Macaca mulatta: one gene and its partners. The protein of the gene in region 1 purifies or fractionates together with the protein of each later gene. This does not show direct contact. Links are inferred from orthologs where the notes say so. Each region holds a gene or a part of one and is shown in the gene's direction. Other genes may lie near its edges.

Region 1 (5,145 bases):
AAATAAATAGAGTGCAAAAATAAATAAATGCATGGATGGATGGATAGATAGAAGTGAATCTTATTTTTAAAAATAAATGAGTAAGGGTAAACTGCTGGTCATTAATGCTGCAGAGTTTAAAGACAGACAGTGTGAACTTTTGAACTGCCATACCACTAACAATTATTAGGAAATAATTTAAAATAGTCATAATGCACATCAGTTTTGTGAGTCCAATGGTGACTGACTAGCTATTTGGTAAATCTTTTCTTTATATAGAAATCCAGTATTAGTGTGCATTATTCTAGGCATGTGTGGTCTTTGCTAAAGAGGCTCTTGGTATTAGTTCTTTTTACCAAACATACGAACTTGGGTCAGTGATTCTCCTTGTGCCACAGATTCCCTAACTTTATTTGGTTTCTGTTTTCTTTGAAAGTATGTTAGGAAGATTGGTGTTAAAATATGTATCAGCACTTTAAATGTTTTATGAAGTACAAATTTTATGTGTTCTTCTCTTAAATACCCAGTTTATTATGACACTCAAAGTGGGTGATAATGAATGCATGTAGCAGTTAGCCTATTAATAAGTGTTTCAATTTAAGATACCAGCCTCTAAAAAAGTCAGCAGTGTGTTTGCATCTCTTTATGATTATGCAGAGAATTAGATTAACCAAGACTTCTGCCATAATTTGAAGATAAGACATGTAGATTTACAACAGTTGGACATAAAGACAATTTCGTGAAAACATTGAACTAGTGTGATAAATCGAGAGTAAATTCAAAGTACCCACATATATAATTTACACATTAAGCCAAACTAAGGATATGAACTATGGCTGTTTGATGTTGGGAGGGGTCCATACCCATTTTCCTGTCCTCAATAATATTAAAAAGTTTTATAGAGGAAGTTATGGACAACGATAAAATGGATCTAGGAATGAGGCAGAAAATTTAATTGTAGACCCGTTTGATAGGTGTTAGAGTGAGCATTACCATACAAGATTTGTTTTCTAATAGCCCTTTCATCCCTCAAGAGGATAAAATAGAAATCACAGCATTGAAGTGGTTATAAAAATAGGGTCATTATCTGCAAATATTTTAAACCTGGAGCCCTTGGTTGTATATTCAGCACATTATTCCCAGGAGGGTAAACGTTTAAACCTGTATGACAAATAGATTACGGCTGATTTCTTTGATCACGTAAATAGCCCCAGAAATTGGCATTTGATTTAGTGTGTTTGTATTATGAACTTCTCCCCTGCAGGAATTATATAATTCCCGTATCAATCTGTATGAAAACATTTTCATATGTCTTTTGAACTTTTAAAGAATTTTATGGATCAGAAATTTAAGTTAAGCACTAGTTGGGTTCCAGCTTTGAATTCTTTAAGTAATAGGAGCATTTTTACCTGATATTATGCTAGCTAGTTCATTGAACAGAGCTCTAGCCTGACATTTTCCCATTTCCCTGTTTACACCTTTGACTATGTAAAGCACACACATATATACTGACCACGACCATCTAGAGTTTGAGGTATGAGTCATTTTTATTGTTTTGTTTACTATAAGTTTCTTTTTGTTTGTTTTTTTAATTACATCTTCAACACTTTATGTTTAAATCTTAATTGTTGATGTATTCTTAGAAAATTGAATCTTTAGGATCTAGGCTTGCCCTCATCCCGTGCTTATGTTTTACTAGCAATAACGCAAAATTTTAGCTTGCTTTCTACAAAAAAACTGATTATGAATATAAACATTTTAAAAAATATTCAATTAGATTTTCTACTGGTTGGGGATTCTTTTTCCATTTTTTCAACTTGTAAAATGTAAATAACAGAGTAGAAAATCTATACACAGAAGCAGACCTAATACCACCAACTTTAACTTTCTCTCCATCAAAACAAACAATAATCAGCAAAGAAACAAAAATCTGTCCATGGGAGACTCAATTTTTAGGGAACCAAAGCTGTTTCAAGCCAAAATCGGGCATGAATGAGCAGAGTGAAAAGTGATCAAACCATTAATGTAATGTTACTCATATCGTTTACTGCAGTCCAAATGACAAAAGTGACATAGATTTAGTTTAGGTTGTTAACATTTGTCCCGATCTGAACCTTGGAATAAGGAAACTACTCCTATAATCCTTATAAAAAGAGACATTGTCTCCTAACACCCTGCATTCATTAATTTGTAATACTTCCAGATACACTTATTTTTAGCTCATTTTGTTATTTTTAAATGATTCTTGAGTAGCATAAACTTTAACACACCAAGCTTTTATTTCTAATCATTGCATGTTTTATTATAGTGCATGCTGTACTTAAGTTAGAGCTTTCTTAAATTCTGTTAACTTATAACTTTCCATCTAGACTTATTTGTGATTCAAATCAATCATATGAATCTTTTTAGTTGCTGATAGTCCAACTCCACCGCCACCACCTCCACCAGATGACATTCCCATGTTTGATGACTCTCCACCTCCCCCACCACCACCTCCAGTGGATTATGAAGATGAGGAGGCTGCAGTAGTTCAGTATAATGATCCATATGCAGATGGGGATCCTGCTTGGGCCCCCAAGAATTATATTGAGAAAGGTAAGGTACAATAATTGAATTGATGTGAAGGAATATAACCTAATTGTAGAAATTTAGGACTATAAAGAACATCTAGTCCAATGTTTCTCAGCTTTTTAAACTGCCTTACCAGCCAAGATGATTTACTTAAACCTTACTTCCTAAGCTTTGTATTATTCCCAGTGTACAGGGTGATTCTTTCTTTGTATTTTAAATTAAAATTGCAGTGTTAGATTTGCTTTCAAACTACATATGTGTTCAGCTGAAGATTAACTTGCTGGATGGCATTTTGTAGATGAAACAGCTAAGGCACAAAAATGGAGTTATATGTAATTAGTAAAGATTTTAAAAGTTCTGTCAAGCTCTGTTGATGACCTTTCATATCTAAATATAGATGGTCCCTGAATTACAATGGTTCAGTTTAGGATCTTTTCAACTTTATGATGGTACAAAAATGATATGCATTCAGTATGCTTCTCAACTTATGATGTAGCTTTGTCTGGATAAACCTGTTATAAGTAAAAAATGTAAGTTATAGGTTGAAAACGTACTTTCAATTTACAATATTTTCCACTAAACAGTGGGTTTATTGGGACATAACCCCATCATATGGAAGTGGAGGAGCATCTGTCTTTAAAAATTTATTAGTACTATCATGAGAAAAGCCTCAATTAAGGTGTCAGGTGATTTTATAAAAGAGAAGACAAATTACCAGGATTATATTTCATGAAACTATGAACTACTATAAAGTCGTAATTTACCTACAGTACCCAATATTCACTGTAATTATCTATTAAGAAATATAGGTGGGGAAGAAACAAATCCTGTTTCTAGTTTTTATTTTTTCATCTAGTTCTGTGCTATTTTAAAATCTGTATTTCTTTTTGCAGAAATGGGAATCAATTAAAAATAAAATCAAATCTGTATTTCTATAGAGTTCTGAAAAATGCTTGTAATTTAGTTGAACACTTTTGGTTGCCTTTGATAGATTTCCTTCTATTGACTTTATTGGGTTAACAGTCTTTAAGCAAGTAGCTGTAGCTCTTGAGACCAGCAGCATTCTTTCCTGCCCAAGTTTTGGATATGTGGCAAAAGTAAATTTGTTTTCCTTTTATATTTTTTTATTTTTTGAGGTGGAGTCTTGTTCTGTCTCCCAGTGTGGAGTGCAGTGGTGCGATCTTGGCTCACTGCAACTTCTGCCTCCCGGGTTCAAGCAATTCTCCTGCCTCAGCCTCTTAAATAGCTGGGATTACAGGTGCCCGCCACCACGCCCAGCTAACTTTTATATTTTTAGTAGAGACGGGGTTTTGCCATGTTGGCCAGCCTGGTCTTGAACTCCTGACCTCAAGTGATCCACCCATCTCAGCCTCCCAGTTGTGGGATTACTGGTGTGAGCCACCACTCCTGGCCTTATATTTTTAAACGGTAAATAATTTACATATTGTTAAGAAAGTCTTAAATATTCTACTTTAGATTCCCATATACCTTCAAATAGAGAGCTGTTGTTACTTATGAGGATGATAAACTTGAGTGGCCTTGAATTGTGTTTTTACCCATATTTTCTTTCTTGGTAAAGCAAATTTAATTATGAAAATGGGACCATATTTATAGAAGTTGACAAATTTGGAATGACATATCGGGTAATATACTTGATAGTAGAGGATTAAAAAGTATCTTCCCAAGAACTAGGGGTGAGCATACTTTGTTTGGTATAAAGCCAGATGGTAAATATTTTAAACTTTGCTGGCTATACAGTCTCTGTCACAACTACTCAGTCCTACTGTTGTAGCGTAAAAGAGGACATAGTACATGAGTAAGTAGATGTGGCCATATTGCAATAAAACTTTATTTACAAAAAATGCAGTGGTTTGGATTTGTCCATGGGCCATGATACACTTTAGATTGCTTTCCACAGCAGTTTGCAAAGGAAGTGAATATAGGCTGAGCATCCCTATCTGAAAGTCCCAAATTCAAAATGCTTCAAAATCCACAATGAGTTCCAACATGATGCCGCAAGTGGAAAATTCCACACCTGACCTCATGTGATGGGTCACAGTCAGAACGCAGGCACATGACACAGTTTATTCAGTGTTCCCAAGGGAAAAATAAAATTACCTTCAGGCTATGTGTGTAAGGTGTATGTGAAACAAAAATGAGTTTTGTGTTTAGACTTGGATCCCATCTCCAAGATAGTATCTCATTACCTATATGTAAAATTCCAAAGTCTGGAAAAAAAACCCAAATCCAAAGCAGTTCTGATCCCAGGCATTTCAGATGAGGGTTACTCAACCTGTATCTTGAACTGAAAAGAATTACAGACACCACAGAATTGCCACGTTCTCTAAATATTAATTAAAATCCTTTGAAGTAAGTAAATATTCTTTTTAAAAAATCTGGGAACAGTACCTTAAATTAGCATGGGTCCTTGAATGAGTAGGATGTGATTTACCTTCCAGTGACTGTGTATTTTCAAATTAGATAGCTTGGGTTGTTACCTGGTTTACTGAATGGCTATGCAGCTTTGCCTGATAATTATTTCGAAAAGCGGTGCTTTGTATATGATAGGCACTTGGTATTTGAATGAATTGAAAC
Region 2 (5,145 bases), on another chromosome or scaffold:
GCCCCGGATTTCCCCCTCCATGGACCCCTCAGTGGACCCAGCCTTGGTGTCCCCGTCGCCCTCTGCAGGGCCACGCAGGAGGAGTTGCAGCGCGACCGCTCGCCCGCCGCTGAGACCCCGCCCCTGCAGCGCCGCCCGTCCGTCCGCGCAGTGATCAGCACCGTGGAGCGGGGCGCAGGCCGCGGGCGACCCCAGGCGAAGCCCATTCCCGAGGCAGAGGAGACGCAGAGGCCTGGGCCCGCGGGGACCTCGAGCAGCGCTGACCCGGCCTCCCCGGACCTGGGTCCCCGGGGTCCTGACCTGGCGGCTCTGCAGGCGGAGCGGGAAGTGGTGAGCCGCGCGGGAAAGGGGCTGGGGGCGGGGCCAGACGACTGGAGGCGGGGCTAGGGCGTGGGGGGCGGGGCCAGCTGCGGGATAGGAGTTCTCCGTCAATCTGGTCAGACTTCGGCGTTATGGAGGCGGGGAAGGGGCGGGGCTTGGTTGTAGGGCGTGGCCAGGTGTTTGGGGCGGGGCCTGTCTGGAGACGTGTCTAGGTGCTCAGGTTCAGGGCTTCGACGGGGATGGTTTTGGAACTCGGGAGCCCTGAGCGTCCCCCTCCTCTGTCCCCCAGGACATCCTGAACCACGTGTTCGACGACGTAGAGAGCTTCGTATCGAGGCTGCAGAAGTCGGCGGAGGCGGCCAGGGTGCTGGAGCACCGGGAACGCGGCCGCAGGACCCGGCGCCGAGCGGCTGGGGGTAAGGGCACCCCCGCGTGGGATCTGAACCCCCCTCCCGATCACTTCCAGATGCCCCCCCTCTCCCCAGGGTCTCCCCTCCCGCCACTTACCAGGGCTGACCTCACAGCCATCTTAACCGGGTGTCCACCTCTCTCTCTGCCTGCCTGGTGCTGGCCCCGCGTCCCCATCGCCGCGCCCGTCGGCCCCCGCAGAGGGCCTGCTGACGCTGCGGGCCAAGCCGCCCTCGGAGGCCGAGTACACCGACGTGCTGCAGAAGATCAAGTACGCCTTCAGCCTGCTGGTGAGGACGCGTCCGCCCCTGGGCCGGGGCGCGGGCACGGCGAAGCTGCCCCGTCCCCGCACCCACGCCAACCATCTCCCTCCCCACGCCCCAGGCCCGGCTGCGCGGCAACATCGCCGACCCCTCCTCCCCGGAGCTGCTGCACTTCCTTTTCGGGCCTCTGCAGATGGTGAGACCCGCCCCAGGTCCTCGGGCCCCCCTGCGGCGGGAGGAATCGGTTCGACTTGCAGACGGTGTGACGGCACGGCCTGCCCCCTCCCGCTCCCCTGACAGATTGTGAACACGTCGGGGGGGCCCGAGTTCGCGAGCAGCGTGCGGCAGCCGCACCTGACGTCGGATGCCGTGGCGCTGCTGCGGGACAACGTCACTCCACGTGAAAACGAGCTCTGGACCTCGCTGGGGGACTCGTGGACCCGCCCCGGGTGAGGGGCGGGACTGGGAGGCGGGGGGCGTGGTGATTGGAGGAGCTTAAGGGCTGGGAGATGAGTGGCATGATTGGAAAATGAGACTAGGAGGAAAGGGACAGGTTGGAGGCGTGGCTTCGTTGTGTTGGGGCGGGGCTTAGGACAGATGCCAAGATTCAATTGGCGGAAAGGCCAGAAATTAATATGAAGGAAAGATTTAAGACCAGCAGACCAATCAGATTGAAAGAAAAGGTGGGGCTTAAAGGAATAGAGGGGCTACGGGGCAGGAGCGGGGCTACGCGAAGGGGCGGGGCTTCTGGAAAGTTTGGTCTATAACTTTGGCGATGGGACAGAGTCTGTGCACTGGGGGCTGGGAGTTTCGTAGGGAAAGGGTCAGAACCTGAAACCGAGCTTAAGGAAAACCTGATTTGGAATCAGAGGTGAAATTTAGAGGCTAGATAAGGCAATTTTTTTTCCAGAGAGAGAGAGAGATGGATGGGCGTGGGGGGCGGGTCTCAATATGTTGCCCAGGCTGGTCTTGAACTCCTGGCCTCAAGCGATCCTTCCATCTTGGCCTCCCAAAATGCTGGGATTACAGGCGTGAGCCACTGCACCCGGCCTAGAAATATAAATTACTGTTGGGTTGGGCTTGGAGGTACCGGCAGGACTTGGTGAAAAGTGGCGGGGCTAGATACAGAGAGCTTTAGGGGAAAACTTAGTGAAGTTAATGACAGAGCTCAGCTGGGGGCTGTACCAGGATCCCTGAGCTCTTGGCCCTGTCCCTGGCTGCAGGCTGGAGCTGCCCCCGGAAGAGGGACCCCCATACAGACCCGAGTTCTTCAGCGGCTGGGAGCCGCCGGTTACTGACCCGCAGGGCCGCGCTTGGGAAGACCCAGTTGAGAAACAGCTACAGCACGAGCGGAGGCGCCGGCAGGTGAGGCTGAGGCTTTCAGGGGAGCAGCCAACTCCCCCAAGCGACACGGCAGGGCCGAGGCTGGGAAGTCCGGGGTGGGGGCGTGGCCGGTCCGCCTGGCCCCGCCTGACCCGACTCTCTTACTTCCTGCAGCAAAGCGCCCCCCAGGTCGCTGTCAATGGGTGAGTGTCCGCCCCAGGGCAGGGCAAGGGGGTCCAGGAGGGGTGCTTCCCGGGGGCTCCCGGTGTTGACTCCGCCCCCTTTTTTTCTGTGTTTTTCCTTCTGTCTTCCTGGCTCTTTTCAGGTGGGTGAGATGGTGAAGGGGCGGGCCGGGGCCGGGAGAGAGGGAGGAGCAGGGAGGGAGGGGGCGGGATCCAGACTTCTGGGGCCAAGGGAGGAGGGAATGGAGACCGGGGTTTCCGGGCCTACGGGAGGAAAGGGGCTGGGAGTGGGTAAAGTCTGAGAGGTTGGATCTCTGGATCCCCAAAAGGCTGGAAGAAGGCAGTTTGGTTTCTCAGGGCCTGGGAAGCACCATGTCTGGGCTCCCTACGAGGACAGAGCCCTGGATATTGGAGGGGAGAGGCTGGGGAATTCGACCTTTGGGTTTTGAAGAAGAGCCCAAGTCTGGTGCTTGGGATCCTGGAGACCCAGAGGAGCAGGCTTGGGACTTCAAGGGCTTGGGGGCAAGTTTCTGGGAAAGTTAGGAAGTGGTAGTATCTCTGGGCCCCGGAGAGGGGTAAAGGCTGGGTGATTAACCTCTTGGTTTTCCAGACGCTCTAATGCAATTGTCTAAGTCACTGCTGGGTGTCGGACTGGGTTAAAAGGTTTAAGGGTTAAAAGGATAAGATTGAAGCTTGAGACCTGGACTCCTAGGTCCCTGGGGGAAAAAAGGACATTCCACGTCAGGTTCTACCAAGCAGTGGGGGTTCAGACTCTGGGTCCTGGGGGAGGAAATGAAGTAGATGGACCAGAACTCTAGGGTCCTTGAGCAAATAGAGGGCAGATTGGAGGGAAACAACATGGGAGGAGACGAAAACAAAGCAGTGAGGCTGGAGGAGACAAAGGGGGGTCTAGGTGAGGGCCTGGGCAGAGGGTCTCAGCAGGGACAGCGTGCTGGGAGCTGCCAGCCCCACACAGGGGGTGCCGCGGCCCTGAAGACCCCCCCTCCCCCCTGCACAGGTAGGCCTGATCCAGGCTGAGGTCCCTCTTATCGGGAGTCAGAGCTGAAATCCCACCCCTGCCCCCAGCTGCCTGATATCGCAACCCCCCTCCCTGTTCACAGCTTCAAGTCACTTTCTCTGAGCCTCAAGTTCTTTGCAGGGAAACTGGGAATGATGGTAATCCCTTCCTGGAACAGTGAGAAGTCTGTGGTGTTGTAGGAACTAGCAGTTCAAGGCTCAAGGCTGTGACCATGTTCAAGTTCAAGTCCAGCTGCCTGCAAAGGAGGGCAGCATTATTCAGACATGGACTGCCCTGGTCCCAGGCTGGCGATGCCACCTGTGACCTTTACATCCCTGTGCCTCAGCTTCCTCCTCTGTGAAAATGGAGAAGATAATAGGGTCTCTGGGGGAGGAAGAAACTGGGGGCGGGGAGAGGGGAGTCCAAATTCATGGTTCTACCAACGGTTGTCATGAAGCTCAAATCAACTAATATACATAACAGTGCCTAGCACATAGTAAGTGCTACAGAAGTGGTAGCTATTGTTTGTTTTTTGAGACAGGGTCTCACTCTGTCATCAGGCTGGAGTGCAGTGGTGAGATCTCAGCTCACTGCAGCCTCTGCCTGCCAGATTCAAGCGATTCTCCTGCCTCAGCCTCCAGAGTAGCTGGGACTACAGGCACGCGCCACCACACCCAGCTAATTTGTGTATTTTTCAGTACAGACAGGGTTTCACCATGTTGGCCAGGATGGTCTTGATCTCTTGACCTTGTGATCTGCCCTCCTCAGTCTCCCAGAGCGCTGGGATTACAGGCGTGAGCCACCGTGCCCGGCATAGCTATTGTTTTTATTATGCTCATGAGTTATGATATTTAAGCCCAGTGCCTATTAGATGCTCAATAAATGACAGCTGTTTCTAGCTGTGTGATGTAGGCAAGTGGTTTTATCTCTCTGAGCCTCATTCTCCTCTGTAAAATGGAATCGATGATGGGATAGTACCCACTGCATATGCCTACAGCACAATGCCAAACAACGGAGGGGGCAAAACATATTCAGGCTGTTATTCTCGTTTCAAATTTCTATTAACAGTACTAACCTGGCCCCTGCTGTGCCCCCTGCTTGGCTCTAACCCTAGCTCACACCAGCACCCTGCATCCCAGAGCAATGGGGCTGGCTGCCTCCTTATCTCCAACCCTCCTGCTTCTCCTCAGTCACCAAGACTTGGAGCCAGAATCTGAGCCTCAGCTGGAGTCAGAGACAGCAGGAAAATGGGTCCTGTGTAATTATGACTTCCAGGCCCGCAACAGCAGTGAGCTGTCGGTCAAGCAGCGGGACGTACTGGAGGTTAGAGGAGCGGGAGGCTGAGGGGCAGGAATTAGGCAGCCCTAGCTGCAGATGCAGGCTCTGAACCTTCTGCCTTTTACCGCACGCAGGTCCTGGATGACAGGCGCAAGTGGTGGAAGGTTCGGGACCCAGCGGGGCAGGAGGGATATGTGCCCTATAACATCCTGACACCCCACCCCGGACCCCGGTTGCACCACTGCCAAAGCTCTGCCCGCAGCCTGGTGAGCCGGCGCAGACGCTGGGGTCTTGAGGGAGGAGAGGCTGGGACCAGATACTGGGAACAAGGGGCGTGGGGATCAGCTGTCAA
Region 3 (4,471 bases), on another chromosome or scaffold:
AATAAAAAAAGTTCCACTGGGGAGCCTTGAGGAGGCAGCGCCAGCCAGATCAGGGCCTGATCTCCTTCTACCCTGATAGTCCTCACGGACGGCGCCGGATGAAGACAACATCTCCTCCTGCAGCCAGACCACCTCCTACGTGGCTGAGAGCTCCACAGCAGAGGACGCGCTCTCCATCCGCTCGGAGATGATCCAGCGCAAAGGTGGATTCACGGGCAGGGGAGAGGGACGGGGGGCGCCACTGGGTCCCAGCATCTGTAGCTTCTTTTCCTCCTTATCCAGTGTTTCGCCAGGCTCTCTGATTCAATGAATTCGGGAAACACGGTACCCTGTGTCCTCTTGCACATTCATGATACACACTAACTATAAAGCAGTTTAAGAGTTAGAAAATCTTAACTGTTGGAGGCCTGGTGTAACTACGTGCCAGCTGTGTGACCTTGGGAAAACCCTTAACCTCTCTGAACTTCTGTTTGATATTCTCTAAAAATGAGGATAAGTATCTTATTGGAATGAATGCCAAATGTTTAGCATGCTGACTAACACATGATAATATGTTTACTAAATAATAAGCTATCACTAAAGGGAAATTACCATCGTTGACTTAGTAGCCTTCCAGACGTCTTACAGAAAAGAAGCCTCTAGCTTTGTTTAACCTAGCCTTGCCCATACCTACTTGACTGCGGAAATCATTTCTCGCAGAGCTCTTACTACAAAAGTAGTGCCCTGCAGAATGTGCCCTGAGTCCTTTGCTGTAACAGTTTTTCTCCCCCGACCGGCCCCCAGGCTCCACCTTCCGACCCCATGACTCATTTCCCAAATCTGGAAAGTCAGGGCGGCGTCGGCGGGAGCGGCGGAGCACTGTGCTAGGACTCCCGCAGCATGTGCAGAAGGAGCTCGGTGAGGCCTGGTTTAGGAGGGCAGTGGTGGTGGGTGGGGAGCCTTGGTCATCCCTCTCTGCTGACCCCACCTCCTCCCTGTCCCTTCCAGGCCTGCGGAATGAGCGTGAGGCACCAGGCACGCCCCGGGCTCCTGGTGCACTGGATGCTGTACGCATCCCCACAGTGGACGGCCGCCCCCGAGGCACCTCAGGGATGGGGGCCCGGGTGTCCCTGCAGGCGCTGGAGGCAGAGGCGGAGGCTAGTGCTGAGACAGAGGCCATGCTGCAGCGCCACATTGACCGTGTCTACCGGGATGACACCTTTGTTGGCCGGTCCACGGGCGCCCGGCCCCCACCATTGACCCGGCCCATGTCCTTAGCAGTGCCTGGATTGACAGGAGGGGCAGGGCCTGCAGAGTCCCTGAGCCCGGCCATGTCCATCTCCCCCCAGGCCACCTACCTGTCGAAGTTGATTCCACATGCTGTGCTGCCGCCCACAGTGGACGTGGTGGCCCTGGGCCGCTGCAGCCTGCGCACACTAAGCCGCTGCAGCCTGCACTCGGCCAGCCCAGCCTCAGTCCGCTCGCTGGGGCGCTTCTCCTCGGTCTCCAGCCCACAGCCCCGCAGCCGCCACCCGTCCTCCTCCAGTGACACCTGGAGCCACTCTCAATCCTCCGACACCATTGTCTCTGACGGTTCCACCCTCTCCTCTAAGGGTGGCTCTGAGGGCCAGCCGGAGGGCTCTATGGCTAGCAATAGCATGGCACCCCCTCCCCAAGGAGGCAGTGGGAGGGGCTCCCCCAGTGGGGGCAGCACCGCTGAGGCCTCAGACACACTCAGCATTCGGAGCAGTGGGCAGTTGTCTGGCCGGAGTGTGTCCCTACGTAAGCTGAAGCGGCCTCCACCCCCTCCCCGCCGGACCCACTCCCTCCATCAGCGGGGCTTAGCAGTGCCTGATGGGCCCTTAGGGTTGCCCCCTAAGCCTGAGCGTAAGCAGCAGCCCCAGCCGCCTCGGCCACCCACCACTGGTGGCTCAGAAGGGGCGGGGGCAGCACCCTGTCCACCCAACCCAGCAAACAACTGGGTACCTGGCTTGTCTCCGGGTGGCTCCCGGCGCCCCCCACGCTCCCCAGAACGGACGCTTTCACCTTCCAGTGGATACTCGAGCCAAAGTGGTACTCCCACCCTCCCTCCCAAGGTCCTGGCAGGTCCCCCTGCTTCCCCAGGCAAGGCCCAGCCCCCTAAACCAGAGCGTGTCACGTCCCTTCGCTCCCCTGGGGCCTCCGTCTCCTCTTCCCTCACGTCTCTATGTTCCTCCTCCTCTGACCCAGCCCCCTCAGACCGCTCTGGGCCACAGATGTTGACCCCCCTGGGTGACAGGTTTGTCATACCTCCTCACCCCAAGGTGCCTGCCCCCTTCTCTCCACCTCCCTCCAAGCCCAAGAGCCCTAACCCAGCTGCCTCTGCTCCAGCCGCCCCTGCTATGGTTCCTGGGCCTGTTTCTACCACTGATGCCAGTCCCCAGTCCCCTCCCACTTCCCAGACAATCTTGACCCCACTGCAGGAGTCTCCTGTCATCTCCAAAGACCAGTCACCCCCACCATCCCCACCCCCATCTTACCATCCACCCCCACCACCCACTAAGAAGCCAGAGGTGGTTGTGGAGGCACCATCTGCCCCAGAGACTGCTGAGGAGCCCCTCCAAGATCCCAACTGGCCCCCACCCCCACCCCCTGCCCCTGAGGAGCAGGACCTGTCCATGGCTGACTTCCCCCCACCTGAGGAGGCCTTTTTCTCTGTGGCCAGCCCTGAGCCTGCAGGCCTTTCAGGCTCCCCAGAGCTTGTCAGCTCCCCGGCTGCTTCGTCCTCCTCAGCTACTGCTTCGCAGAGTCAGCCCCAGGGTAGCCCAGACCCTCCTCCAGCTCCGCCAGCCCCAGCTCCTGCTAGTTCTGCCCCAGGGCATGTGGCCAGGCTCCCTCAGAAGGAACCGGTGGGCTGCAGCAAGGGCGGTGGGCCTCCCAGGGAGGACGTAGGTGCGCCCCTGGTCACGCCTTCGCTCCTGCAGATGGTGCGGCTGCGCTCTGTGGGTGCTCCAGCAGGGGCTTCCACCCCAGCACTGGGGCCATTGGCCCCCCAGAAACCACTACGAAGGGCCCTGTCAGGGCGGGCCAGCCCAGTGCCTGCCCCCTCCGCAGGGCTCCATGCTGCCGTCCGACTCAAGGCCTGCAGCCTGGCCGCCAACGAAGGCCTCTCAAGTGCCCAGCCCAACGGACCGCCTGAGGCAGAACCACGGCCTCCCCAGTCCCCTGCCTCGACGGCCAGCTTCATCTTCTCCAAGGGCACTAGGAAGCTGCAGCTGGAGCGGCCCATGTCCCCTGAGACGCAGGCTGACCTCCAGCGGAATCTGGTGGCAGAACTCCGGAGCATCTCAGAGCAGCGGCCACCCCAGGCCCCAAAGAAGTCACCTAAGGCTCCCCCGCCTGTGGCCCGCAAGCCATCTGTGGGAGTCCCCCCACCCACCTCCCCCAGTTACCCTCGAGCTGAACCCCTTACTGCTCCTCCCACCAATGGGCTCCCTCACACCCAGGACAGGACTAAGGGGGAGCTGGCGGAGAATGGAGGTGTCGTGCAGCTGGTGGGTCCAGAGGAGAAGATGGGCCTCCCGGGCTCAGGTACAGTGGGCAGTGCTAGGGTGGGGTCCCATTGCTGATGATGGGAAGTGGGAATCTGAAGTCCCGTCATGGGGTATTTGCTCTTGGATCTTTAACTTTTATGGTCTGAGAATGCCTGGGAAGGGCCAGCTATCACCCTTGCTGGGCCCCAGAGGAGGAGAATGGTGTGTGAGTGTCAGGCCTACTGTGTCTGAATTCCAAGGTTCAATAGCCAAATTCCTGGCTAATTTTGTATCTTTCCCTGCCCTTCCTAGCTACATTGTAAAGTGTGGGGCAGTGACACCTACATTATAGTGTCTGAACATTTGTAGGGTGTCCAGCCCAGTGCTGCAGGCATAGTAAAACGGGTAACAAGGTTGGGTGAGGGTATGCCTTGTTGGGCTCTTAGTGCCAGAACTAAGCTAGGAGGCCCCTTGCTAAGTGTCCCTTCTTTTTCTCCCCTAGACTTACAGAAAGAGCTGGCCTGACCACCAGGCACCTCACTGGCACTGCTGACCCATCCCAGAAACACAATCTCAGGGACCTGAGCAGCTCCAAGGACGAGAGGATACAGCAGACACAACCTAATAGAGAGGGCGCCTGCAGCCTTAACCTCCACGGCCTTCGATATTTATGCAAGCCTGGTGTTGCTCCTGTCCTCCGAACCATCCCGCGCTCATGCCTTTTCCCGAATGGGGTCACCTCCGGCAGTTGCCGCTTCAGTCTTGGCCTTAGCCTCATCTTGAAGGAGGTAGCTGGCGGGAGAGGGTGGCTGCGCCCCCTGCTGGCCCTGAGGCCGCAGAGTTGGGAGCAGGACACCTCATCTGAGTTTCATTTTTTTTTCATGTCCAAACCATGCACATACTATAGTCCAGAATCAAAGCACTTTTGAAAAGTGGCTGCATGGCCATCCTCCAGGGCCCAGGAAGTTGCATTCCAAGGG
Region 4 (5,145 bases), on another chromosome or scaffold:
TGTGGGAGGGGGTTCGTTCTGATCTTATCCCATTTCTCAGTTCCTCAGAATGTTAGTTCTGAAAGGGACTGGTGTGAGAAGGCATCTGGTCCAACCCCCTCATGTTACATGAGACAACTGAGGCCCAGAGTGGGGGCTTTGTTGCCTAAGGTCACACAGCAAATCAGCAGCAGTGCCTGGCCTTGAACCCCGGTCTTTTGACTCCCAGTCCAGTGCTCCGCCCATGGCATCTGTGGCCCTCTGGGAAAACAGGGAGTGAGTGACTCCAGGGTGACATGTAATGAGGTTCTCCTCTGATATACACACCCTTGGCCAAGCAGAGCAGGGAGCCACCTGCTGTGGCCAGGCCCACCGGCCCAGGGATGCCACGGGGCCCGGGTTGGCCATGAAGCTTTTCACAGTTCCACATTTACTTCTCAAACCCTAAACTGGTGCTTCCTTAGGACAATGCTTTTTAAGAGCAGACATCTGCAGACAAGAATAAATACATAAATACAACACGAAGCAACCTTTTCCCCTGGGGTGGAGGGCCAGCTTCTGACCTTCTCATCTTGCCTTCTTTTTCAAGCTATACATGGTGCGGACCATGCTTGAATCGCTCATTGCAGACAAAAGCGGCTCCAAGAAGACCCTGAGGAGCAGCCTCGACGGACCCATTGTCCTCGCCATAGAGGACTTTCACAAACAGTCCTTCTTCTTCACACACCTGCTCAACATCAGTGGTGAGCTGCATCCCACCCCTGCTGAGGCATGGAGGGAGGGGACGAAGGGCTCAGAGCCACTAAGACCACCAAGCCAGGCATGGCAAAGGGACGTGATCGTTGACCCTAAGGACGTGATCGTTGATATCACCGCCAAGGAAAACACACACACTTTCCAGTGGGCTTTTGGAGCTGGGAAAGGCCAGGTTCAACTCAGCTATTCTGACCTAGCTAAATGTGTCCGGGAGATACCTGTGGCTAATCTGTCATAAAGTCCTTAGTAGAGAGGGATCAAAACCAAGAATATGCACATACAGACACATGGATGCTAGACTTGCTACTCAGCCGCAGCCGAGCGCTAAGTAGTACTTGCTGCTGCCAGCAGGGGAGGCTCTCGAGCTGCATCCCAGTCCTGTGTTCTTCACACTTCCTCTCCTTTTAGTAAGATGTATGTCTAGGGCAGAGGAAGAGTAGTATCTCAGGGACGTGAGTCTTCGTATGTCTGCTGGGATTGAAAAGAGTGATGGCTGTAACAAACAGTACATTCTTCTCCATTAGAGAGTAGCCTGGGAAGGGCCTTCAAGGCCTCTAAACTGTATGGGATCTACGAATTAACACACACAAGAAGTCAAGGAGCCACAATCCAACTGAAAGTGGGCACTTGGGGGCCTATCTTGACACTGACACTGTATTGTGTAATGAACATACTTTTGTTTTGTTTTGTTTTGTTTTTTGAGACGGAGTCGCTCTGTTGCCCAGGTTAGAGTGCAGTGGCACTATCTCAGCTCACCGCAACCTCTGCTTCCCAGGTTCAGGCTGGAGTGCGGTGGTGTGATCTCAGCTCATTGCAACCTCTGCCACCCAGGTTCAAACAATTCTGCTTCAGCCTCCTGAGTAGCTGGGATTACAGGCATGCACCACTATGCCTGGCTAATTTTTTTTTTTTTTTTTTTTTTGTATTTTCAGTAGAGACGGGATTTTGCCGTGTTGGCCAGGCTGGGCTCAAACTCCTGACCTCAAGTGATCTGCCTGCCTCAGCCTCCCAAAGTGCTGGTATTATAGGCATGAGCCGCTGCGCCCAGCCATGAGCGTACTTTTCAAGCTTAGGTTGCAGGTTTTCAGGATGACTTTGTAGGAGGGTGATGGGAACTATAGGGGCATCTAAAGCTCTAAAACATCACTGCCTTCTCTTCTCCCCCGCCAGCCCACAACCACTGCCACTCAAGCTTAACAAATGCTATTTTCCAAGTACATATTAGGCTTGCCTTTAAGTAAAAGAGAGCAGGATCCTACTAATCAATATTAGTACCTGCTACATACCTAACACAGTAACAATAACAATGAAAATTAATAAAAACAATGAGAACTAAGGTCTTTTAGTGCTAAGAGTAACCCAAGGCTCATTCCCTTATGCTTTTCAGAAGCCCTGCAGCAGTGTTGTGACCTCTCCCAGCTCTGGTTCCGAGAATTCTTCCTGGAGTTAACCATGGGCCGACGAATCCAGTTCCCCATCGAGATGTCCATGCCCTGGATTCTAACGGACCATATCCTGGAAACCAAAGAACCTTCCATGATGGAGTAAGAGGCAGCATTGGGCCAGCAGGTGGCTCTTGGGGTGCAAGTGGAGGGCAGTTTACCAGGGAGCTCCGTTCTTTCCAGAAGGAAGCACTGAGTTGACAAGAAATGAGGCCATGTGCCCCACCACGGGGAAAGCTCAGCCAGACAGAATCATTTAATTCAGCCTTGCAGATAAATTCTGAAGTTTCCCAGGCCAGCTGTCCTTCCTATGCTTTGTCAGCCTCATAACAGCTATGCTCAGAAAAGAGTAATCTCAGGAGCAGGAAGCTCATATTCTTAACTGCCACCTGATGTCTTTTAGTCCCAGATACATGTTTACAAGTCCTGGTTTTATTTGCATCTTGGACTTCTTATTTCTTTGGGCTGACTGTAAAGTAAGTTGCTCCTAAGCGGTGGAGGCTCTGGGACCATCAGAGAGGGCTGAAAGATGGTCTTTTCCTGACTCTGAACTTGTTTCTATTTCCCAAGCAAGTATAAAACTGTCTTCCTTAAGGGAGGTCATTAGTAAGCGGCTGGCTGTGTTTTTCCCTCTTCAGGTATGTCCTCTACCCTTTGGATCTATACAATGACAGCGCCTACTATGCTCTGACCAAGTTTAAAAAGCAGTTCCTGTACGATGAGATCGAAGCTGAGGCAAGTGACGTGCTTCTCCTTTTGCTCCTTTAATCTTGTTCCAAATTCCGGACTTTTCCAGTTTTTTGCTATTAGCATGAAGTAGGAGTATCAGTGACTTGTTCTAGGAGAGGAATCTCTGTAATCATGGCCATCAGAAGGCCTGTGTAACCTTTGAGGGCAGAAGTACAAACTGAGACACCCAGTTCAGGACCTGCTGCCTTTCTCTTCCCACCCACAAACTCTGTGCTGCACCATGAAGGGCTTCATGTGCATGTGTGTAAATACCCAAGCTCTGCCTGTCAACTCTGCTCAAAAACAGTGACCCTCAGCCAGACCTAAAACCTATGGTCACACACACCCGTAGTGCAGTCCATCCTCAGAGGGGAGGCCAGAGAAGAGAGCACGTGGCCCTGGAAGAGGCTTGAGCTGCCTGTAGAAGGCTTCTCAGAGCTGGTTCTAGAAGGGGAGAATGGGGCCTGAGTGCACATGCCCACCTTGACCCTATGGATTCTTTGCCTGGACGGAGGTCTACTGATGACCCTTGAAGCTCAAAGTGCAGGGCAGCGGCCTCAGTGACCTAGGTCTGAGGAAAGCACTAAACACAGCGCTGGGATTTTGTGTTCTGCATACCACGTAGGGTGTGAGATGAAAGATCTGAAAGCTTTTTGAATCATTAACCTTATGGAGCCAAGGGTCTGGTGAGAAAGGATCAAAGGTTAATCACGTAAATGTTAAACATGAAAGACTTAAAATACTAAATCTGACAGTAAATAGGATCTGTTTCCTTTGACTCTTACCTAGCTACTGCCTTTGCCCCATCTCATGGTCATGTCCTGCTCTTGCTATTTTTGGAATATTTGGTTTGATTCTCTGTGTCTGGTGTGAATTATCTTCCCACCTGAGCATCACAGTCTGTCACTGATGATGAGACCCTGAAATGTCAATGCTTTCTTCATTAAAAACCAAAGCTACGTAAGCAAAGTTGGAAGGAAGGCGCTTTGAAATGTGACCATCAACTTCATAAACAAATTTGCGGCCAGGTGTGGTGGCTCATGCCTGTAATCCCAGCACTTTGGGAGGCCAAGGTGGGTGGATCACCTGATGTCAGAAGTTTGAGACCAGCCTGGCCAATATGGTGAAACTCTGTCTCTACTAAAAATACAAAAATTAGCTGGGCATGGTGGTGGGTGCCTGTAATCCCAGCTACTTGGGAGGCTGAAGCAGGAGAATCGCTTGAACCCAGGAAGTGAAGGTTGCAGTGAGCCGAGATCACACCACTGCACTCCAGCCTAGGCGACTTGTTGAGCGAGTCTCTGTCTTAAAAAAAAAAAAAAATACAAAAAATTAGCCGGGCGTGGTGGCGGGCACCTGTAGTCCCAGCTACTCGGGAGGCTGAGGCAAGAGAATGGTGTGAACCCGGGAGTCGGAGCTTGCAGTGAGCCAAGATTGTGCCACTGCACTCCAGCCTGGGCGACAGAGCGAGACTCCGTCTCAAAAAAAAAAAAAAAAAAAAAATTGCAAAGCAAAGTAAAATACAATGAAAAATAACATCTATCAGAAGAGAGAGATGGAGAGGCTGCCGAGTTAGCAGACAGATTCAAGCACTGACGGGTTCTGACGGTCTGTTCGTTGCATCCCTCCAGGCAGGCAGCCTCAAAACAGCTAAGGAGGGGGTCCGTGGGGAGGTTGGTTCCTTTTTGAACTTTGCCTTGTCTGTTGACTGACTGAGGACCCTGAGAGCAAGGGACCAAACCTCCCAAACTTAGCCACAGAATCTTCTTTTTCCCCTTCAAAGCGTCTTTCCCCAGAATGCACTTTGGGCAGTCCTGGCCGACTGCCCTCTTTCAGTTGGCTCGGTTTCTGTGATTAAGCTGAACGGGCACCAGTGATGTTCCTGCTTCCTCTCCACCAGGTGAACCTGTGTTTTGATCAGTTTGTCTACAAGCTGGCAGACCAGATCTTTGCTTACTACAAAGCCATGGCCGGCAGGTAGGAAAGCCCCAGAGCTGTGAGTAGCAATCTCTTAAGACTGCCACCTGGAAGATGTGATTTTCCATTGTGAAACCTCCCTTCTTCTTTAGCCCCTGAGGAAAACAGAGCCATTCCACAGGCCCAGACTGGGTGCTGAAATAGAGTGGAAAGGAAACTAAATAAATAGAGGGCTCACCTCACACAGACTGCAGTCTAGCAGGAAAGACAGACATTGACTAAAAGCCGATGAGTGCACAGTGACAAGGAGGTTACATGCTCT
Region 5 (5,646 bases), on another chromosome or scaffold:
GAACAGAATGCTGAGTAGAGCCCCATGGAAGCGAAACGGAGAGAAAGTTTCAAGAAAGAGGAACTAATGAACAGTGTCATTTGATGCAGACATTTAAGTCAGATGGCTGAACCTGACAACTGCAAGGCCTGGGACATCACTCACAGACAGTTTCCCAAGAGGGTAGGGCCAGACTGCATCGGGTTGAGGAGAAAATGAGATGAAGACAAAAAGAGAGCTCCAAAAAGCTGAGCTGTGAAAGGAGAAGACTCAGGAGGTTACTGGAGGGGCGTAAGTTTGGAAAGTTTTGTTTTGATAGGAAGTTAGGATTCTAAGCATTCTTTCATGCCAGATGCCCATTTTTAAAAAGTAAAATTCACAGACAGCTTGTTAAAAATCTGTAAAACACTCCTTAAGTCATTAAACTAGACTTGGGGACATGATACAAAGGAATTTTTGGACACCGCCTCCCATCTTCACATCTTGAGCTGATCACCTACCTCGGGCTCTACTGGGCCTACACTATCAATTGGTAGATGCTCTCATCAGGCTCTAGACACATCAGCTTTTCCTCAGTTCTTCAAACACACTAAGCTCTTTGCCTTCTCAGGCTTGCCTGTCACCTTTGCCTGGAAACTCTTGCCTGAATCAGCTTCCTCCATTGAGATCATGCAGCTGTTTCTCAAATCCAAGGCCTTTTTCTCACTGTATTAACATACATAATCATAAAACATTTACTGCACTCTCACTAGTTACCAGGCTCTGTGCTATATGCTTTATTTGTGTAATTTCACTCAATTTTCACACTCATCTTCTCATGTAGACAGGTGTTTTGAAAATGATCTCCGCTTGTACAGGTGAGGAAAGAGAGGAGGCTGCATAACTTGCCCAAGTTCACATAAGTGGTGGTGCCAGGATTAGAACCTAGTTTTTCAAAAATAAAACAAATCGAGGCCACTGCTCACTTCAAGTGAAGGTACAATACTCTAGTTTGGGAAGTCCTGATCTAATTTTATTTATGTTCCGAGATTACATCTGCACTTTACAGGCTATGTCCCTAATTCACAAATTCAAATTTCACCCCCTCTTTCCACTTGCTTTCTGATGGCGGGAGGTAAGGGCAGAGAGCATCGGGGGGCTATTCCGAACTTCCAATTCTGCTTCTCCCGAGGATGCATGTGGGAAGGAGAAGAAATTCAAACGTTAGCAACTTATCTCTGAGCAATGAGGTAAGCCGGGACCTAACAAGCGGCTGGCAGTTTTGGAGCTGAAGCCAACAATTCCCACACCGCATCAGTAGCAAAGGTGCTTACCTTAACTGCCACCTCCGGAGCCGAGTCCACTGCCACTGCTAGAGACGGCTTGGCTGAAGGCGATTTAGTCAAGTGCATGAGGGAGTCGGCGGCTGGCAGCGGACATCGACTGCTCTCACTGTCCGAGTCCGATTCGGACCCTGAACCCGAACCGTAGGAAGCGGCCAGAGCTGCAATCGCAGCCGACATGACGGCAACAAATCTTCTGCGGGGACCCTGTCAGGGCGGAAGAAGAGGAGGCTCCCAGGTCCTGACAGATTGCCATGGAACACATCATTAACTTTCTTTGCTAAGAAATAATTTCTTACATTTTAAAACAACAAGCTAATTATTATTAGAATAACTACTGTCGAAATGAGAGCTTAAAAAAGTTTATCTAGGGAAAAAGAGAGAATTATAATAGCTTATAACTTTCAGGACCTAGTTGACTAAAGAATACGAGTTCCAAAATACCTTGAGGCCTCGCGGTCCTGCACTCCCAGCGTGCAGCGCGGCAGGAAGCACCAGAGGGCACAATGGGAAGTGTAGTTTGGAACGAGGGGGCGGGACGGGGGCGGGTCCCTCCTTGACCCCGCCCCCGAATGGATGTTCCATTCAATTGGCTGTCATCTTCCCTCATTCCCTAGCCAAGCACTGTTCTCTCCGTCCCCCTCCCCCAAACTGAGGATTGGGCAATACCACAGAACCTCAGGAAAGGGGGGAAGAGCGAGCTTCGGCCCCACCGATGGAGGAGTGGGCCGAGGCTGGGTTTCCCACCTCGACTGCACCTGGGCACTCGAGGGTGAAGAGGAAAGTGAGAATCTGAAGTTTTGAGACCTCTGACTGGCCGGGAATAGCTCCTGGGGCACGGGGCAAGGATGGGACCATAGCCGGAGAGAGTCCCGCGGTCCCCCCTGCTTCTGGCGCGGGTCCCTGCGTCCGGTTGTGGAGCGTCTCGCGCGGGGAGGGGGCGGGGGGAGCGGCAGCTCGCGGTGTTGTTCACTCGCGCGTCGAGCACACGGTGGGTCCGGCGGCCGGTGGGCGCCCCAGGCGGCGTTCCCAGTGGCCTGGCGCCTCGGCCGCTGTCCTGAGCGGGTTCCGCCCCAGAGCCCGACCCTCCTGGGAGCCCTAGGTGGAGTCCCGCGAGCCGAGGGGGACCGGCGACCGCTGCCGAAGCATGAAGAAGGGGTAAGCGAGAGCCCCCAAGATTTCACGGTGAGCGCGAGTCCCTGAGGAATTGCTTTTTTCGGGGAGGGGGTGCTGGGAGAGGAACTCTTCCTCACCGGCCGGAGCAGACCGAGGGGTGTGTGGCCCGCATAGGTGACGGGGATGGATGGGCGCGCCTCCCCCGCCCCGGCCCCCACCCCCATCCGCGGGTTTCCCGAGCGCCCACCGCCCACCCGCCAGCCGGGCTGGGTGCAGAGGGAGACGGCGGCGGGCGCGCCCGGGGTTCGGCTGCAGGGACCGCCCCGGGGCTGCTTTCGCCGGAGAGACTGCGGGTCTCACCTGAGGTGCCACCGCCCGGGCTTCCCTGCCCACCCGCGCCCACGGTCCGCCCCGTGCCTCTTTCCGGGGGAGGCGGTAGCCCCGGGCGACAGAGAAACCTCTGCTCGCTCTACGTGCCTGGAGCTTAGTAAAGCCGGCTCGTGCGTTTGCGTGTTTGCTCCGCGAGTCGGTGTCTAAAGACATAACGGTAAAAAAGCGAGTGCAGGCATCCTTTTCTTGGTTGGAAGGGTAGGCGAAGCAGTGCCGTCGCTTCTGGTGCCCGTTCGTGGGGGCTGCCTCGGGCAGAGTTAGGGAGCCGCTCACTCAGCGCTCATGTCGGCAGGACTCGCCCATTGTGCCACCCAGATAATTATTCAACTATGCAGCATCCATTGCACCTTTCCCATTTTTCTTTTCCCCTTGCTACAGCATGCCCCCTAGCTTCGGTACTCTGACACCTTCTCTTGCACTTGCGGATGATGAACTGGAATAACGATGAAAGAAAGCACATCCTATCTCAACATACACGACCTGCCCTATAACCGATTAATTAATTGATCCCCAGCTAGACTAGGTGCTTAAATATGACTTACTCTAATCATTTTCTTTTCTGTATAATGTGTGCGGTGGATTCGACCTAAATTTTTTCTTTGGTGTTAGATTCACGGTTAGCTAAGGTCTTTTTTCTTTTCACTAATTGATGTAATTGACTTATGGGTTATTCAATCCGTCTAATGTTCTTAAATTTAAACTTGCGTGGTAGGTAACATTCATTTTTCTGATCATAGCACTATATCATGATTAAAAATGCAGTCTAAATTTGAACTCTCTGAAACAGTTTATCCTTTATGCTCTAAGTTTCTGTTAGGAAACATATTTTTGTTTATATTGAATATTCGAATGAAGTATTTGATGTAAAATTTCGGAAGTTTTGAATAAGAAAAGTTTTGTATTTGTTTTTCAGTAACAGAATATGTCATTACTAATCGTTGCCTTCCATTGAATGGAAGAATTTAATATTTAAGGTGAGGATTTTAACCACCGTATCAGTCATTCCCTAATTTATCTGATTTTATTTTTTATTCACTTTTGTCTTTGCAATATCTTGTATTTAATTATTTGTTTTAGAATCCAATTTTTTTTTCTAACTTTGATCTACAAGTATGAGTAGGCTTCAGTTTTGCATGATCTACCTGAAGGATGAATTTTTATTTGAAAATACAAGAAACAGCTGTTGGTTACTTGATTTTTATGTTAAAAACTGTTTACATCTCATTATTTAAAAATAAATGATTCACTATCAAAAATAAGTGTTGTATTTTTATAGTTTTCCTTTTCCATCTTGTTTACGCTTGTTGCATTAACCCGTCTGATAAAAGAGAATCACATATAAGCATTGCAGAGGCAGTTTTAAGGTACGGTAATTGTTTTATGGCACTTGGAAGTGGCGCACATATAATATAAGTTGATGGTGTAGGATTAGTTGCTTGGTTAGGAAATGACCTTGCAATTTACAAAATGGACACCTTTGTGCCTTGATTTCCTTATATGTAAATGGAGATAATATTTAGTAGATAGTGTGCATAAATTCAGGAAAGGTGTGTTTTTGTAGTCCTTTTAAAGAAAATTTAAATAGCTGATGAATGATAAAAAAATTTCTGTGAAAAATACAATGAAAAAATGTCAGAATTTTCCTTGTCATGTTAGAATGGCTGATTAACATTGATTCTTGCTTTGGAGAGAGACGCCTCTGAATTGAAAAATGTTTCTCATCTATCAGTGGTTTTAAATAATTGCAGACATAAAGGTTATTACAGTTAATACCTACATGTAGTTAAACATATAGATAAAATAGTTAATAGTAAATAAAAATTATGACTTGATAATAAGAATATTGAATTAAGTTAGTGAAGAATAATATAGTCAAAAAATATTAAGGCCTTTTTTGTTAAAAATTTGCAGGTGTTACAATCCAAAATGCTTAGTCGTGATCATTTATAAGGTATGCTATAGAGTTACTTTATTACTCATGTTTGTAAATATCCATATATTGTACAAGACTATAATTATACATTTTGCTTTATTTTAGGAATAACTTAAAATATCTTTCCAAGTACTTGATTTTCATTATCATAGTACATAGTACCTTGTGATTTCCTTATTGGACTACTATCAAAAGATTATATTATTAGCACTTTTACCAAAACAGTGCTTTTGGTTACTTTGTGAGAAAACTTCATATAGATAAGACTATTAAAGTGTGTTTAAAGTTAACTATTGTATGGTTTCTTTTTTGAGAGTGATTGTTTTATAATGTTTTCTTGAATTAAAATTTAGCTGTCACTGTCACTTGGGTAAATGCAGTAAAGTCATGGTTTTTTTAGTTATTTGAGGAGAGGAACTGACCTGCAGCTTATTGTCATAAATCCAAAGTTGTCAGTGTAGTGTTTAACAAATAGTAGGGGTTCAATTTTCTTTTTTGAACAAATAAAATGAATGTGTAAAGAATATCCATTGAATTAATATACTCAGTGAAACATTTTTAAAGATTTATCAAACATTTTAATTAATGAAATGTATAACTTTATCTCAGGAGAAAAGAGAAAAATGAATTTGGAGGTTCTTTGAACTCCATTTACCTGTTCAGATCTAATTCCATTACCTGTACACTTTTGAATTGGCACTAGATACTTAGCAGTCTTTGATTTATGAAATATTAACAATTTTCTTCTTATAGCTCACTTTATGAAGATGTATGTCAGCATATTTTTTGTTTTCCCTACACTAGATAGAAGTGTGTTTGATTCTTTGTGACTTAACTTTTCTAGTGAAATAGTAATACAAAGATATATGTAAATTAAATCCTGTGCTAAATGCCTGGGTACCTAGT
Region 6 (5,145 bases), on another chromosome or scaffold:
ACCTCAGGTTAATTTGATTTTCTTTTGGAAAATGTATTGGAAATGTAAGAGGTTGTATGTATTTGTATCTGTTATAAATCCTTTTCCTTTTTGCCAATCGTAAGCACTTGACTACATTTATCCTGGATCGGAAAGATGCTATGATCACTGTTGATGATGGAATAAGGAAGTTGAAATTGCTTGATGCCAAGGGCAAAGTGTGGACTCAAGATATGATTCTTCAAGTGGATGACAGAGCTGTGAGCCTGATTGATTTAGAATCAAAGGCAAGTGTGTAAAATTTATACTATTTTATTTTCAAGAAAATGCCACTAATATTAATGTTTACAGTCATTTCAGATTGTTTGAAAATGGGTGGAAGTTTGAAAAATAAAATGTTTACTTTATTTATAGAATGAACTGGAGAATTTTCCTTTAAACACAATCCAGCACTGCCAAGCTGTGATGCATTCATGCAGCTATGATTCAGTGCTTGCCCTGGTGTGCAAAGAGCCAACCCAGAACAAGCCAGATCTTCATCTTTTCCAGTGTGATGAGGTTAAGGTAAGAGAATGGTGAAATTTTTGTTTCCTCTTTAAGCAGACGTTCTGGCAGCTTTTGAATTACCTATTTTGATAATATATCTCATATTAGGTACTAGATTTTTAGTTTCTGAGGATCTTGTAAGGAAAACAAATACCTTAGTATCTTCCTTAGGATTTCCATGGCAAGTAAATAAAGAAATTAGGGTGATGTTAATAAAATCAGGGGCAGGCAGAGTAGCTCATACTTGTAATCCCAGTGCTTTGGGAGGCCGAGGCTGTAAGATGGCTTGAGGCCAGGAGTTCAAGCCCAGCCTGGACAACATGGCAAGACCAGTCTCTACTGAAAAGGTTTAAAAAATTAGCCAGGTGTGGTTGTACATACTTGTAGTCTCAGCTACTCAGGTGGCTGAGAGAGGAAAATCTGTTGAGCCAGGAGTTGGAGATTACAGGGAGCTATAATCGACCCTCTGCACTCCAGCCTGGGCAACAGAGTGAGACTGTGTCTCTTAAAAATAAGAGGCATTCTGTTTTTTTTTTTTTTAAAGGATAGATAATATATTAAATTCACATCAAATGCCTTAAACTTATAATTAAAAATTGATTGTTCAGAAATCATGCTTTGTGGACAGTAAATAATCATGTAATTCTAATTTATTCTGCACTAATGACATAGCGTGGATTACTGCAATGAAGTACTTAGACATTTCCCACGATATTGATTTAAAGTTCACCATTTAATTATGTGATTCGAATCGTTGCTCAGGATTTGTAATTCCCAAATGATACGTGAAAATGGATGAGCCAGTAATAACACGATGTGTCCTGAAAGTTTCTATTTCAAAGTATAGTGTAATTTCAAATGATTATAATTTGTGATGCTTTATTGGACCTTAGAAGTTATCTTCAACCTTGAATGTGTTTATTTCCTGAGTTGTTTTCTTTAAAAGAGAAATCATTTTGTGTTAATTGGTACTTTGCTAAAGCAGTGATTTAACATTTTGATGATATATTATAAAATATCCATGTAATTTTATCTTATAAAGAACTTTTAGGAGATTAGCACAGTCACTTGATCTTTTCTGTATTTTTTGACATTTAAAGATGATAGATAAAGTAAAATTGACTGTAAACTGTGTTTCATAATTTTCTTCTAATTTCAATTTACATCACAGATGACTTTCTAAAAACCTTCTTCTAAAAGAACTGGCATTTAAGTAATTTGTGTAAGTGATATTCATCAGATTTTTGTATAGTGCCTTTTGAAAGTCATAGTATATTATAATTTTTGTAAGGTTAGATATATTCAATAAATATTAAAGGGAACATTTTGCTTTAAAAATATAGTGAAATTTAATTCAAACATATATAAACCAGAGGCCTAAGTTAAAAAACATTTCAGATTTGATGTTTGTATCTGTGCTCTAAAAAGCCCCCCGGGAGCTAAAAGTTACTATGCCATAGTGTAAAGCTTCTGAATTTTAAGTTTGGGAACAAAGGGTTTGCTTTATTTGATATGGAATGGTAATGATAATGGATTCAAAATGTATTTACTGAATATAGTTCTGTCCTAACTCCAAAAGCTCACATACCACAGAGCACCATATGCATTTACTCATTGGTTTTATACTCTGCATATGAGACCTTTTTCCCTTGGCTGGTTAAAAGTATAAACGCAATGAAAAATGCAGTTTATTTTATATGGCTCATTGTGCAATATTGTTTTTGATTTTTAAAGTTTCTTTATTATAGGACTTCATGCAATGCTCCTGCCCACCTTTGCAGCAAAATTTTTCTTAGAAATATAATAGCCCCAGTATAAGAAGTTGATGATTCCTAGGCATCTTCAGTTTTTGTTTGGGGTTTTTTAAAAAAAAAAATAATTATTTTTAATTAACTGTCTTTTCATCTTCAGTTTTAGTATCCTATGTAACAGAAAGCCTTTGACAGGATGTTTGTAATGTCTTATTGAAACTTAATGCTCTTAGGAAGTCACACTGGACTGGGATGCATTGGCACTCTCATTTAACGAGCAATGTGACCTTGGCCAGGCCCTTTCATACAAGTACTCCTCAGTTTTATTAATTAGAAGGAACTGATGAGATGCTCTTTTAAATATCCCATCATTTCCAAAATTTTATGATTATCGATGCTTACTGTAAAAGAAATACAACGTACATATTTGAGAAAACATTACATACAACAAGGAGGCACAAACATAGATGGTGCATCTCATCAACATTCTAATATAGAGTGATAATGACTGGCTCTAAACAAACTTTGCAACCAAACAAAAACTTCTTATCTGTGAATCTCACATTGATCCCCAAGAAATATCTAACTGAATGTTCTTATTGGAAAAGTATTGGAAAAGTTAATTGTTTGTAGAAAGTTAGCTTTTACCTGAAGTGACAAAATAAAGTGGTTACCCAAAAGGGTACAACCTAGTATTGGAGTTTATCTCATGGGTGTAGTGGATTTGCCTTAAACCCAAAGATATGTTTTGCTGGGTTAATAGGTATCCAGTGGATCTTGAGGATGAGAAAGGGAAGGAACTCTGTCTGTTCTATGTGTGGGAATCTCTAACCCCTTAATTTCTTCCCAATTAGAGATTTTTACTCAGTTTCATTTTTAGCATATGCATATCCATTCTTTGCCTCCTTCATTGCCTTTATTCAATGATAGTTTCCCTTTAAGATAATCTTTAAACATTTCTTCAGTTTTTAAAATCTTATCATTATATAGTTCACCATTATAAAAACCACAAGAGTCATGTTTCACAACATTTTTATAAAAAGATTTTTACATCAAGATGCTTACTGATTCAGACAAGGAACAATTCCTTTTCCTGTTTTAAACTACATATCAAGACTCGGAAAAATCTATCAACTTACAGGTAACTTGTATCTCCTTGCAGGCAAACCTAATTAGTGAAGATATTGAAAGTGCAATCAGTGACAGTAAAGGAGGGAAACAGAAGAGGCGGCCTGATGCCCTGAGGTAAAAACATTAAAAGAAATCAAGGGGTGGAATTGATTTGTTTCTAAGGCTTTTTTCCCCCAAAGAGTTAGAAGAATTATTTTCCATGGAAGTATATTATTATGTTGTATAGATCATAACCTGTAGTCTCAACACATTTGTTCTCCCAAGTTTGTCAGTGCGTTTGCTCCTTTGCTCTCCATATTTTTGATCTTTCTCTGATATGGCTTCACTTGGGTTGGAAGTCACAGGGTCATGAAAGATGAGTGGCATTTGAAGAGAAGGTATCTTAGGGAAATACAAGCTAGACAGTAGGATTGTAATTGTTCCATGGCCCTTCCAAATCACATGAGACTCAGAAAGAAAATCAACCTAGTTTTCAGCTGACTATTAATTTTTTTTATTTCATATGCATTCATAAATATGCATAATATGGAATGCTTAGGAAATCCTTATTGCCCCTTGACATAGTTGTTTCTGAATTTTAATAACTAGTACCACAAGTTGAGTTAATTGATATGTTATAGAAATAGAGATGGTAAAAATTCTATTTGTTTTCATCTTTTTAAGGATGATTTCCAACGCAGACCCTGGTATACCGCCCCCACCCAGAGCTCCTGCCCCTGCGCCCCCTGGGACCGTCACCCAGGTGGATGTTAGAAGTCGAGTGGCAGCCTGGTCTGCGTGGGCAGCCGACCAAGGGGACTGTGAGTCTTCCTAGAATTAATACTTATTGAACACTTACTTTGGGTTGGGGCATAGGTCTTGCTTTCAAATTCTGATGCTGATTTCAGAACTGAAGCTTGAGGTTACTTTTTAAAAAATCAAATCTGGCTGGGCACAGTGTCTCATGCCTGTAATCCCAGCACTTTGGGAGGCTGAGGCGGGCGGATCACCTGAGGTCAGGAGTTCGAGACCAGCCTGACCAATATGATGAAACCCTGTCTGTACTAAAACTACAAAAATGTGGTGAGCGTGGTGGCAGGCACCTGTAACCCCAGCTACTGGGATGGCTGAGACAGGAGAATCGCTTGAACCCGGGAGGCGGAGGTTGCAGTGAGCTGAGATCACGCCATTTCACTCCAGCCTGGACAACAAGAACAAAACTCCATTTCAAAAAAAAAAAAAAATCAAATCTTAGGTGAAAGAAAGTTAAGCCTTGAATTTTGTTAAGATTATTATCTGTAAGAGTTCAGACCCACCATTTAATAAACATGGTGTTAGGGTTAGAGTCTTTTTTTTTTTTTCTTTTCTTTTTTTTTTTTTTTTAATGCTAAGAGAGGAAGTTTCACTTGATTGACAGTTAAAAAGATGGCAACAAAATATGTACAGGTTTTTTTAAAGACCGCAATTAAAATTATTTCCAATTTTTTATTATTTAACTACAGTCCCTTTGTGGACAAGTTTGTCATATTGATGGAAAGGTTGTCAGGACAGTGGTTGGCTGCTGGCAGTGGAGAAGGGTAAAAGGTATCCATCATACGACTGTACTGTACTTGTCAAGTGGGCCCTATGAGCGTGGCATCATTTCACCTTGGCATTCTGTTTAAAAACAATTATAACATAGAACTTAGCGTTACTGTTTTTTTAAAAAATATAACCTTATATATTTTTATTTTACAAATAATCATTATGTAAAATTTGA

Evidence for each region.
Region 2: the proteins of ABI1 (region 1) and EPS8L1 purify together in Homo sapiens (co-immunoprecipitation; 4 studies listed by BioGRID and IntAct, with this or other methods). This does not show direct contact. The link is inferred for Macaca mulatta from reciprocal best matches to the Homo sapiens genes ABI1 and EPS8L1.
Region 3: the proteins of ABI1 (region 1) and NHSL3 purify together in Homo sapiens (affinity purification with mass spectrometry; 3 studies listed by BioGRID and IntAct, with this or other methods). This does not show direct contact. The link is inferred for Macaca mulatta from reciprocal best matches to the Homo sapiens genes ABI1 and NHSL3.
Region 4: the proteins of ABI1 (region 1) and CYFIP2 purify together in Homo sapiens (co-immunoprecipitation; 4 studies listed by BioGRID and IntAct, with this or other methods). This does not show direct contact. The link is inferred for Macaca mulatta from reciprocal best matches to the Homo sapiens genes ABI1 and CYFIP2.
Region 5: the proteins of ABI1 (region 1) and WASF1 purify together in Homo sapiens (affinity purification with mass spectrometry; 6 studies listed by BioGRID and IntAct, with this or other methods). This does not show direct contact. The link is inferred for Macaca mulatta from reciprocal best matches to the Homo sapiens genes ABI1 and WASF1.
Region 6: the proteins of ABI1 (region 1) and EPS8 purify together in Homo sapiens (affinity purification with western blotting; 4 studies listed by BioGRID, with this or other methods). This does not show direct contact. The link is inferred for Macaca mulatta from reciprocal best matches to the Homo sapiens genes ABI1 and EPS8.

The regions. Positions count from the first base shown.
Region 1 is NC_133414.1:28,115,906-28,121,050, reverse strand, and holds part of ABI1 (abl interactor 1), read left to right. Parts: intron 1-2,388; coding exon 2,389-2,574; intron 2,575-5,145. UniProt on the Homo sapiens protein: May act in negative regulation of cell growth and transformation by interacting with nonreceptor tyrosine kinases ABL1 and/or ABL2. May play a role in regulation of EGF-induced Erk pathway activation. Involved in cytoskeletal reorganization and EGFR signaling.
Region 2 is NC_133424.1:67,398,597-67,403,741, forward strand, and holds part of EPS8L1 (epidermal growth factor receptor kinase substrate 8-like protein 1), read left to right. Parts: intron 1-68; coding exon 69-330; intron 331-610; coding exon 611-737; intron 738-930; coding exon 931-1,019; intron 1,020-1,113; coding exon 1,114-1,188; intron 1,189-1,292; coding exon 1,293-1,441; intron 1,442-2,215; coding exon 2,216-2,357; intron 2,358-2,489; coding exon 2,490-2,518; intron 2,519-4,705; coding exon 4,706-4,838; intron 4,839-4,927; coding exon 4,928-5,059; intron 5,060-5,145. UniProt on the Homo sapiens protein: Stimulates guanine exchange activity of SOS1. May play a role in membrane ruffling and remodeling of the actin cytoskeleton.
Region 3 is NC_133406.1:208,086,015-208,090,485, reverse strand, and holds part of NHSL3 (NHS-like protein 3), read left to right. Parts: intron 1-79; coding exon 80-203; intron 204-783; coding exon 784-897; intron 898-987; coding exon 988-3,549; intron 3,550-3,993; coding exon 3,994-4,016; 3' UTR 4,017-4,471. UniProt on the Homo sapiens protein: Able to directly activate the TNF-NFkappaB signaling pathway.
Region 4 is NC_133411.1:166,195,137-166,200,281, forward strand, and holds part of CYFIP2 (cytoplasmic FMR1-interacting protein 2), read left to right. Parts: intron 1-568; coding exon 569-722; intron 723-2,122; coding exon 2,123-2,279; intron 2,280-2,815; coding exon 2,816-2,912; intron 2,913-4,806; coding exon 4,807-4,883; intron 4,884-5,145. UniProt on the Homo sapiens protein: Involved in T-cell adhesion and p53/TP53-dependent induction of apoptosis. Does not bind RNA. As component of the WAVE1 complex, required for BDNF-NTRK2 endocytic trafficking and signaling from early endosomes.
Region 5 is NC_133409.1:15,225,748-15,231,393, reverse strand, and holds the start of WASF1 (actin-binding protein WASF1), read left to right. Parts: upstream 1-2,255; 5' UTR 2,256-2,459; exon of another isoform or gene 2,460-2,486; intron 2,487-5,646. Other genes in the region: CDC40 (pre-mRNA-processing factor 17), read right to left, coding at 1,293-1,481.
Region 6 is NC_133416.1:18,125,933-18,131,077, reverse strand, and holds part of EPS8 (epidermal growth factor receptor kinase substrate 8), read left to right. Parts: intron 1-104; coding exon 105-266; intron 267-393; coding exon 394-543; intron 544-3,438; coding exon 3,439-3,521; intron 3,522-4,070; coding exon 4,071-4,207; intron 4,208-5,145. UniProt on the Homo sapiens protein: Signaling adapter that controls various cellular protrusions by regulating actin cytoskeleton dynamics and architecture. Depending on its association with other signal transducers, can regulate different processes.